Linked DNA regions of Drosophila melanogaster. The protein of the gene in region 1 interacts with the protein of each later gene in a pairwise test. Each region holds a gene or a part of one and is shown on either strand. Other genes may lie near its edges. The genes, in order: CG18540 and CG31326.

Region 1 (3,217 bases):
CAGCAGCGTCGCCTTCGTCGTTGTAGCTTTTAACAATTTGCAATAAATTAGCCGAGGCAACTGTGCAGAGTTTTCACTTGAAATGCAACACGAATTGCATTTTCAAGGGGGGAGCGAAATGAGGGGAAAGTAAACAGGAAAAAAAATGAGAGACTTTCTTTGCTTTAAGAATGTCTTGTTAGAGCAGTTTTACAACCTTATGGTTTGCACACTTGTTAGTTAATACTTTCAGCTATTTTCATTTATATGAGCATAATTTTCTTTGGCAAAAACCCTTTTTCTCAGTGCTAGCGACACTTGGTGCAATTTTTGTTCGAAGTTACTCTCTATCCCGCCAACTACCACACTCCTTTTCTTACCACAACAGTTTCCAAACATGTCTTGCCAATTTCACACTCGAACTGCCTGCCTGCCTGCCTTTCCGTCCTCCCAACTTCAGCTGGCTAAAAGCGATTTTTACCTGGCCCGGTTCATTTATTGGCCCCCGAGTCGGTCGGATTTTATGACGATCCTCTCGTCGCAGCTGGAATTTCGGCCCACACCTCGGAAATGCCCAACAGCAAAAACAGTTGGCAATAGAGTGAGAAGATGTTCTGCGATTTAATGCTCGAATATTTAGAACATTTTCGTTCTGATCCGCAGAACGACGGACACGGTGACTTCAAGATTTGGCTGGGCGGTGATGACGGCTTCGCCTTTATAGAAGCCATCTGCCAAAATATCCGGCAATCCTTGGCCGTTCAGAGCGCAGCGGGTGAAATTGTAGGTCGCCTTGGGCCAGGGTGGTACAAATTCATTTTCATAGACGGGCAAATCGGTGCAATTGCCCAGATTCGGCAACAACAGGTCCTTGTAAAAGGTATTGACATATTCGGTGAATTTCTGCGGTTGAATGGACATGGGAGTCAGTTTGTAATCGGACTCGTCACCGGAGTAACTGCTCAGAATACGCATCTCGACCTAAAAGCAGTATTTGATTTTTAAGTGCTTTTGAATCAATGATATTTGGTACAGAAATTACCATCACGCTATCGTCCACATCAATATTCCAGAAGAATGTGCCTGAAAACCCGAATTCCGACCTTGAAATGCGCTCAATTCGCAGATTCATGTCCATGGCACTGGGATTTGTGGTGGTGCCACCAATCGACAATGGCGTTGCCTCCCAGTTGGGCTGGAAACAATAAACCATATTTAAAAAAAAATAAAGAAATATTTAGGAATATTTCTTTCTTAGCATACCTTTGCCGCACAACCATTGTAAAGGTTTGCAAAAATACACACTGATAAAAGCGATGAAATGCAAAACGAAATCATTTCTGGTTAAATTGACAATATAAGTTGCAACCTACTTGCTTTTATAGTCTGTCAATTTAGATTTATCTTTTAAAAACATTTGTGACACGAAAACATTGTGTACAATTGTGCACATTGTTAGATTATTGAAGTTGGAATAGGTGTAAATCATGTCAAGCTTATCTAAATTTACTGATCGTCACGGTATCACCCATCCAAATTTAGCAAATTACACAAATACACAACGCGCAAGTCATGCTTGCATTGGCTAAAAAAATTTTCTTTCATATTTGGATATGCAGAAGTTGATAATGTAGACGATAAATTCGTTGTAAATAAAATACAAAAATATAAATTTTATAAATATTAATTTAATACAATTTAATATAAATTCATTTTACACAACATAGTACAATTTGTTAAGTAGAAAAAAAAATGTTTGAACTTCTTAAGAGCCGCATATAATATAATATTAAATAACCTTTGGCGAGACCTTAACAATCAGGGTGAAACCCCAATCCACCTGTCCTGTCATTTTATACTCTAGCTTGTAGAAACCCTCTGGTGCAATATCTGGCAGTCCCTCGCCACTGGCCACACATTTGTCCAACTTGTAAACATTTCGTGGCCATGGTGGCACAAAATCGCCATCGAACTGCACCATATTGGAGCAATGGCCCACATTCTTGATGAACGCGTCCTTGTAGAAACCGTTTAGATATTCGAAAAATGGCTGTTTAGGAATGGACCAGGGCATCATTTTGTAATCGTCTTCGTCACCCGATGAGCAGTGATGAACGTCTGCCTCCACCTGTCCAGCGATTAATAACCATTTTCTTAATTAATAGAAACTTGATATTAAAATCAATATCTCAACCATAGTGTCCTTATCCACATCGTAGTTCCAGTCCAGTGTCATGGAAAATGCATAATCGCTGCGCCCAAGTCGATCAATTTTTGTGGTGATCTTCAAGAGACTCTCATCTGAGCTATAGGATGTCAATGATAAGGGCTCATACTCCCAGTTACGCTGTGGAATGAGCACAGAAATTATAAGTATCCTATTTTGTTAGAATATCCTGGCATACTCCTGCTTTGCAGCCATCGATCAGCAGCGTAGCGAGCAAAAATAGCAACGAACAACACGAAATCATTTAGCCAGACTTTAAACTTCATCAACTTGCAATTTAGTTGCATTTATATAGCAAACTGCAGTGGATTGCATGTATTAATTATATAACTCCCTGTTACATTTTGGGCTAACCATGTCAAACAAGACTGCATGCCAAAAACATGAAAAAATGTGTGGACTTTGAATATTAAATATGAATTTTGTTTATTGGTTGGTCTTTAGCTACAATTGAGCAAACTTACAAATGTATATTAAGTATTTGAGAAATGTGAATTTTTTTACACAATAACTGAAAATTCTCTTCCACTAGTAATTGTTACTGATCTTGAATTTTTCTTGAATATTTCTTACCTCCTTCAAGGACACTCATTTCTTATCGAAACAGCTAAAATATTTCAAATTTTTACCATTGATTTTATTAAACATAAGCGCAGTTAAAAAAAAAATGTGTTTATCTAAGATAATGGTTTTTACATTAATTTGGGTGTGATTTTAAAAACTGACGTAGTGTTCCATGTGGGTTGACCTGGTCCATAGCATTTGATCACAATCAGATAAAAACCGGCAGGAACAATTTCTGGCAACCCATCGCCATCGATCACGCATTTGTTGCCAAAATAGGTCTGCTTTGGCAATGGCGGTTGGAATTTACCCTCGAATTGCGGAATATTGGAACAGTGCTTAAAGTTCTTCATCGAAACATCCTTGTAATAGGTGTTCAGATGTTCGTATAGCGATTGCTTGGGAATGGCCCAAGGAAGCAGCTTGTAGTCGCTGACATCTCCCGTC
Region 2 (4,660 bases), on another chromosome or scaffold:
AAAGACTAAACTTTATAAAAGAGTTGACAATTGGGAAAACTTACCGGGGTGTTTCTGCCACGCTGGGAAAGTTCAACGCGCACAACGTTCTCCGTATTTGTACTATCCAGGGTTAGCTGCAAGTGTCCAATGAACTGATTGTCGTACTCCAGGTACCGAAATATCATCGGACACTGGATATATGGCAAGTTTTGGGCACTTATATAGCTGATTTGCAGTATGGCGATCAGAAAACCAAGCAACTGCAGTTGGCGCATGGCGATCACCCTTTCCGGAACAGTAAATATTTATGGAAAACAAATGCGACTGCAATCGCACAGCATTCAGCTAGACGCGAATTTAATCCAATCGAGAATCAGAGGTTAAACCGCACTGATTGAGAGTCGCGCGATGAATGATTGGTATTAGCTCAGCCAATTCGCATTAGTTTCCGATCTAGCTGAATAGTCCGATTCAAAACAAAGCTGCTTGGCTCTCCCAACCTGATCAGAATAAGTGACGTAGTTATACTCTTCAAAAAAAGGTTTTGGGGGACTAATACTATGTTTGACTCAGAATTATTTTTTGGGGCTTAAGAGCATGAATTGGGATTTTATAAACCAAAATAACCAAAATAAATGTTCATGGAAACAAAAGATCCAAAAAAGTTTGCAGTGTATTCAAGATGCGCCGTTTTGCTTTATTATTTCAATGATTAATGGATCCACTTAGAATTACCCATAACGCAATAGTAGGCAGTAATACATGGATCTTCCGATTACGTGATTTTACATTCATCAATGGGAATCTCTTCAAGAAGGGGGCATGCTTTTCATGTTCGCAATCTTCATTTTGTGTTCAATTCCACATTTTTTGGCGAACCCATTCAATGTGCTTGGCCACATCAGTGAATACGGATGGCTTGGATAGCTCACAGGTGTTTTCCTTTTCGTTGATCACACCTCCGGAGATCACTCCCCGCAGCACCCAAACGTCCTGTTCCCGCAGCATCAATGGTCCACCACCATCGCTGGCACAAGGACCCGCTCCCGTTTTCTTGGCACACAGGGAGCTCGGCTGGACCAGAACATGTGGCAGCTCCAGGGCGCAGTTCGCTTCGCTGACTATATTAAGGTCAGTAACCTTGGATACTTCAGTGTTGCCGGTGCCGGTCTCATCAGGTCCCCAGCCGGCAACATAGCTCTTGAGCCCCTGGGGCAAATCCATGCGGTTGCTGGTGCTCCAAAGGCAAATAGGTACTATGTAGTCCGTGTACCTTATTATAGTATAAGCAGTAGTTTTTTATATTTAATATATTTATATAATTTATAGACTCACCTCACAGGTTCGTCCAATCGGACCAGCGCCAAATCGGCCTCCGTAAACTGTTTGAATTGGAAGTTTTCGTGGATAATCAGCTGGGATACGCCGCGAAATTCTCCATCGGAGTGAATGGCCAAAGTATTTCGACCCAAGGAGACGGCCAGCCGAGAGGCGGGCAAATCCCTTCCAGGAGCACGAAAACAGTGGGCGGCCGATAGTACCGTGGATGTGGAGATGAGGGTTCCTCCACAGATGAAAGCGGGTCCGTTGCTCTCCCGTCGTTCGAAAATAGCAACCAACCATGGGAGCTGGCCTCGCTGAAGACTTTTCCCTTGGAAGATCAATGGAGTGGTACTAGCTCTCTCCCGACCGCAGGGAATACCATTGGATGAAGGGTTCTGCTGGGGAACAAGATCTACAGGGCTTCTCACCGCCTGCTGAGGAGCATTAGATCGACTAGGATTTGGTGTCGGTCGTTGTGGGACGGGACTTGGTATCTCCGGCTGAGAGGTAATACCTCTATTCGGATTTGCCTGCTGAGGGGCGGTACCCCATCCGGGATTTTGGAAGGCTGGCAGTGACTCATTACTCCTTCCAAACAACTCTCCGCTATCCTCTAGTCTGGGTTGACTGGGTCTGGTTTCCCTGTAGTCTATCTGTGGACTTTCATCTTGCCAAGCGGGTCGAGGTCTGGTTGGCACAGGTTGGGGATTAACGCCGAAAACCGATATGTAGGAGGGCGTCCAAGTGATTCGCAGCGTAATGCCGGTTCTTGGCTTAGGATCTAGAAATTATACGTCCATAAATTGCATTTAAAATATATTGAACTATAAAAACTTACATACACCGCCACTACAAAGTTGTACGCCATTCAATTGCATGCTAGTGATCTTGGGCGGTATTGTTGGAATAGGAAAATCCACACGGTATCTAATCGGCAAGCCCTGACGCAGATTTTCCTGGGTCACTTCATCATCATCCACCAGAGAGATACTGCCCACATAGTCCTTAAAAAAAGAAATATCAAAAATTAATTGATTAATAATTCTATCATTCTATTGTGCTTGTTTATATATTTTTGCAATGTCAATTTTCATTGCCGCATGGGAAATTGCACAACCGCAAAGTAAGCAAAGTGATAACAGAAGCGACTTATTATGAGTTCAGAATTTCCAAGTTAATAATGCTGAATCTTACTTCGAAATCGTGATATCCCTGCTGGGAGAATTGAAGGATGAGTGTCTGGTTATTGGCCTCCGGATGACGAACTTCCACCAAACCGATGTACTGCCCCTGGTAGCCCTGGTATTGAAATCGCCCAGAGCAGCCATTCCGGGGCAACTGGCCAAGAACCAAGTTAATCAGAGAAGCCAGAAGGAGAACGGTCACCAGCTGATGCGGACTCATTGCAACTACGTATGAGCTGAGCTTTTCCAGTCTATTTTATAGAGATTTTAATTACTCGCATTAAAACTCAAAAGACTCACTCAATGAGCACTGATTGATACCCGATCTAAGTCTCTCAATAGTCAGTGGCTCTCCCCACTTTGTGGGTATTTAAGTATTCAGTTTTTGGAGCTAAATTCTCGAGCGTAAATTGCACTTCCACATGCTAAGCTCCATTAAGCCAAAAAATGCATTAATATTACTTACCTTTTCTTAAAATAACTTTATTAACAGCACAAAGACAATGAATGAACATTTTCTCACAGTAGGTATTTAAAAGATTTAATTTTTGATTTTCTGCTCCTTTATCATAAAACATATTTAATGGATCTCATATTTATTTATTTGTTTCTATAATAATTGGTGCGAAAGGTTCCTAATTATGTGCTGTCTCTGCTATATGTTCGCCAGTGATTATTGAAATAATATCTGATTTTAAATGTATAGATCCCGACTTATTTGGTAAATGTTTCACTCTCAAGATAATCCTCGATTATATCATCTAGCTGTCTTTCTACCTCGACCCGCTCCTCAGTGTATTCCTTAACAGTTTTATCCACACACTGATTACTTTGCCGTTGAATGTCCTCCAACTGGTTGCCCTTAGTCCGCAGATTCAGCAAATTCTGTGGAGCATTCTGGATGCCATCGATAGCTCTTCTGACGTTCCGCCGGCACTTTTTTGGCTTAACGCTGGAACAGCCTTCAGTGACATCGATCAAGTGCTCCGTTGGATTTTGCAGGCCATTTAGGGAACTTTCCAAGTCCAAGTTAAACCGAATCTGATTCCAGATAAACAGACCAACACAACTACGCAATCGAAGGCCGTAACGACTGTTGAAGTTTTCAGTGATGGAAACAGCCTCCGCGGTTCTAAGACCTTTAGTCGACTCCTGAACTTTCGACACCTTTGCGGCAGCCCAGAACTTCCATTCCTCCTGGACATTAAGTTTCGAGACAAGTTGCTCCTCCTCTGCCTTGATGTTCGTTAGGAATTTTAGCAATGGAGATATGCTCAAACCTAGACCAGTTAGAGCTTGCAGAGATTCCTGCAGGCCTTGTCTCCTTTTCTTTTTCCGAGTATTGGGCAAATCGGATAATAATTTTGCCACATAATTGTCAAGAAGATTCCTCAATTGCGTTATCGTTCCTTCGTTCTTGTTTTGCAGGTCGTTAGTTGGACTTAGAACCGAAATACCTTTTTCGTTTAGCCTTTCTGGATCATTGGGCAGAGCTCCACCATCTCCAAATTTATTCCAGATATCAAAAGCAGTTTCTATTGCCAGAACGCTGTCATTCCAGGCAAACTGGACCACCAGGAGGATTAGAAAGCCGCTGCACTTCATCTTTATACCAGGCCTCTAAGAGTCTATATATCGTACTGCAGGCCTTTTATAGCCAATTACATTGGGTACTTAAATGTGCAGCACGCTTCCCAAACATTTGCTCAGCCGATGCCAATCATTTAGCAGTCAATACGTGGGCATATATGTTTACTTTTATGTCATACATGCAATACACATGGCCATTAATTTGTAAGATATTAGCTAAAGAAAGTTAGCGAAAAAGTCAGTTGTGTCTTTTAGCCAGAACAATCAATCGGTTCTACCAATAAAAAAAAAAAGTGGCCGCTGCTAAATCCTAAAATAGATGAACTATTAATGAAGTACATCTCAACAATTAAAGTTATTTTTTTACAAACATTTTATTGTCAGCACGTAGCAACCTATCTGTACTTTTTTTTGCCTTTCAATCATCCATCATTGCCAATAAAATAAGTGAAAGATGGGAGGCGCAAACTCGTTTTGCCGAAAATCACCAGACAGTGAAACATCTAAATATCTTTTGGCATTAAAGTTTTTAATTTGATTGTCCACAAAGCAAATCCGGATGCTCAGCGAATGTTTTCGCT

Evidence for each region.
Region 2: the proteins of CG18540 (region 1) and CG31326 interact in a two-hybrid assay, tested with the Drosophila melanogaster proteins (one large-scale study listed by BioGRID).

The regions. Positions count from the first base shown.
Region 1 is NT_033778.4:18,297,433-18,300,649, reverse strand, and holds CG18540 (uncharacterized protein), read right to left. Parts: upstream 1,334-3,217; 5' UTR 1,318-1,333; coding exon 1,243-1,317; intron 1,175-1,242; coding exon 1,022-1,174; intron 961-1,021; coding exon 616-960; 3' UTR 578-615; downstream 1-577. Other genes in the region: CG18539 (uncharacterized protein), read right to left, coding at 1,769-2,107, 2,174-2,326, 2,385-2,450; CG18538 (uncharacterized protein), read right to left, coding at 2,899-3,217.
Region 2 is NT_033777.3:14,217,486-14,222,145, forward strand, and holds CG31326 (uncharacterized protein), read right to left. Parts: upstream 2,721-4,660; 5' UTR 2,710-2,720; coding exon 2,500-2,709; intron 2,310-2,499; coding exon 2,144-2,309; intron 2,087-2,143; coding exon 1,318-2,086; intron 1,256-1,317; coding exon 838-1,255; 3' UTR 651-837; downstream 1-650. Other genes in the region: CG9649 (uncharacterized protein), read right to left, coding at 45-257; CG33109 (uncharacterized protein), read right to left, coding at 3,204-4,094; Sp212 (Serine-peptidase 212), read right to left, coding at 4,643-4,660.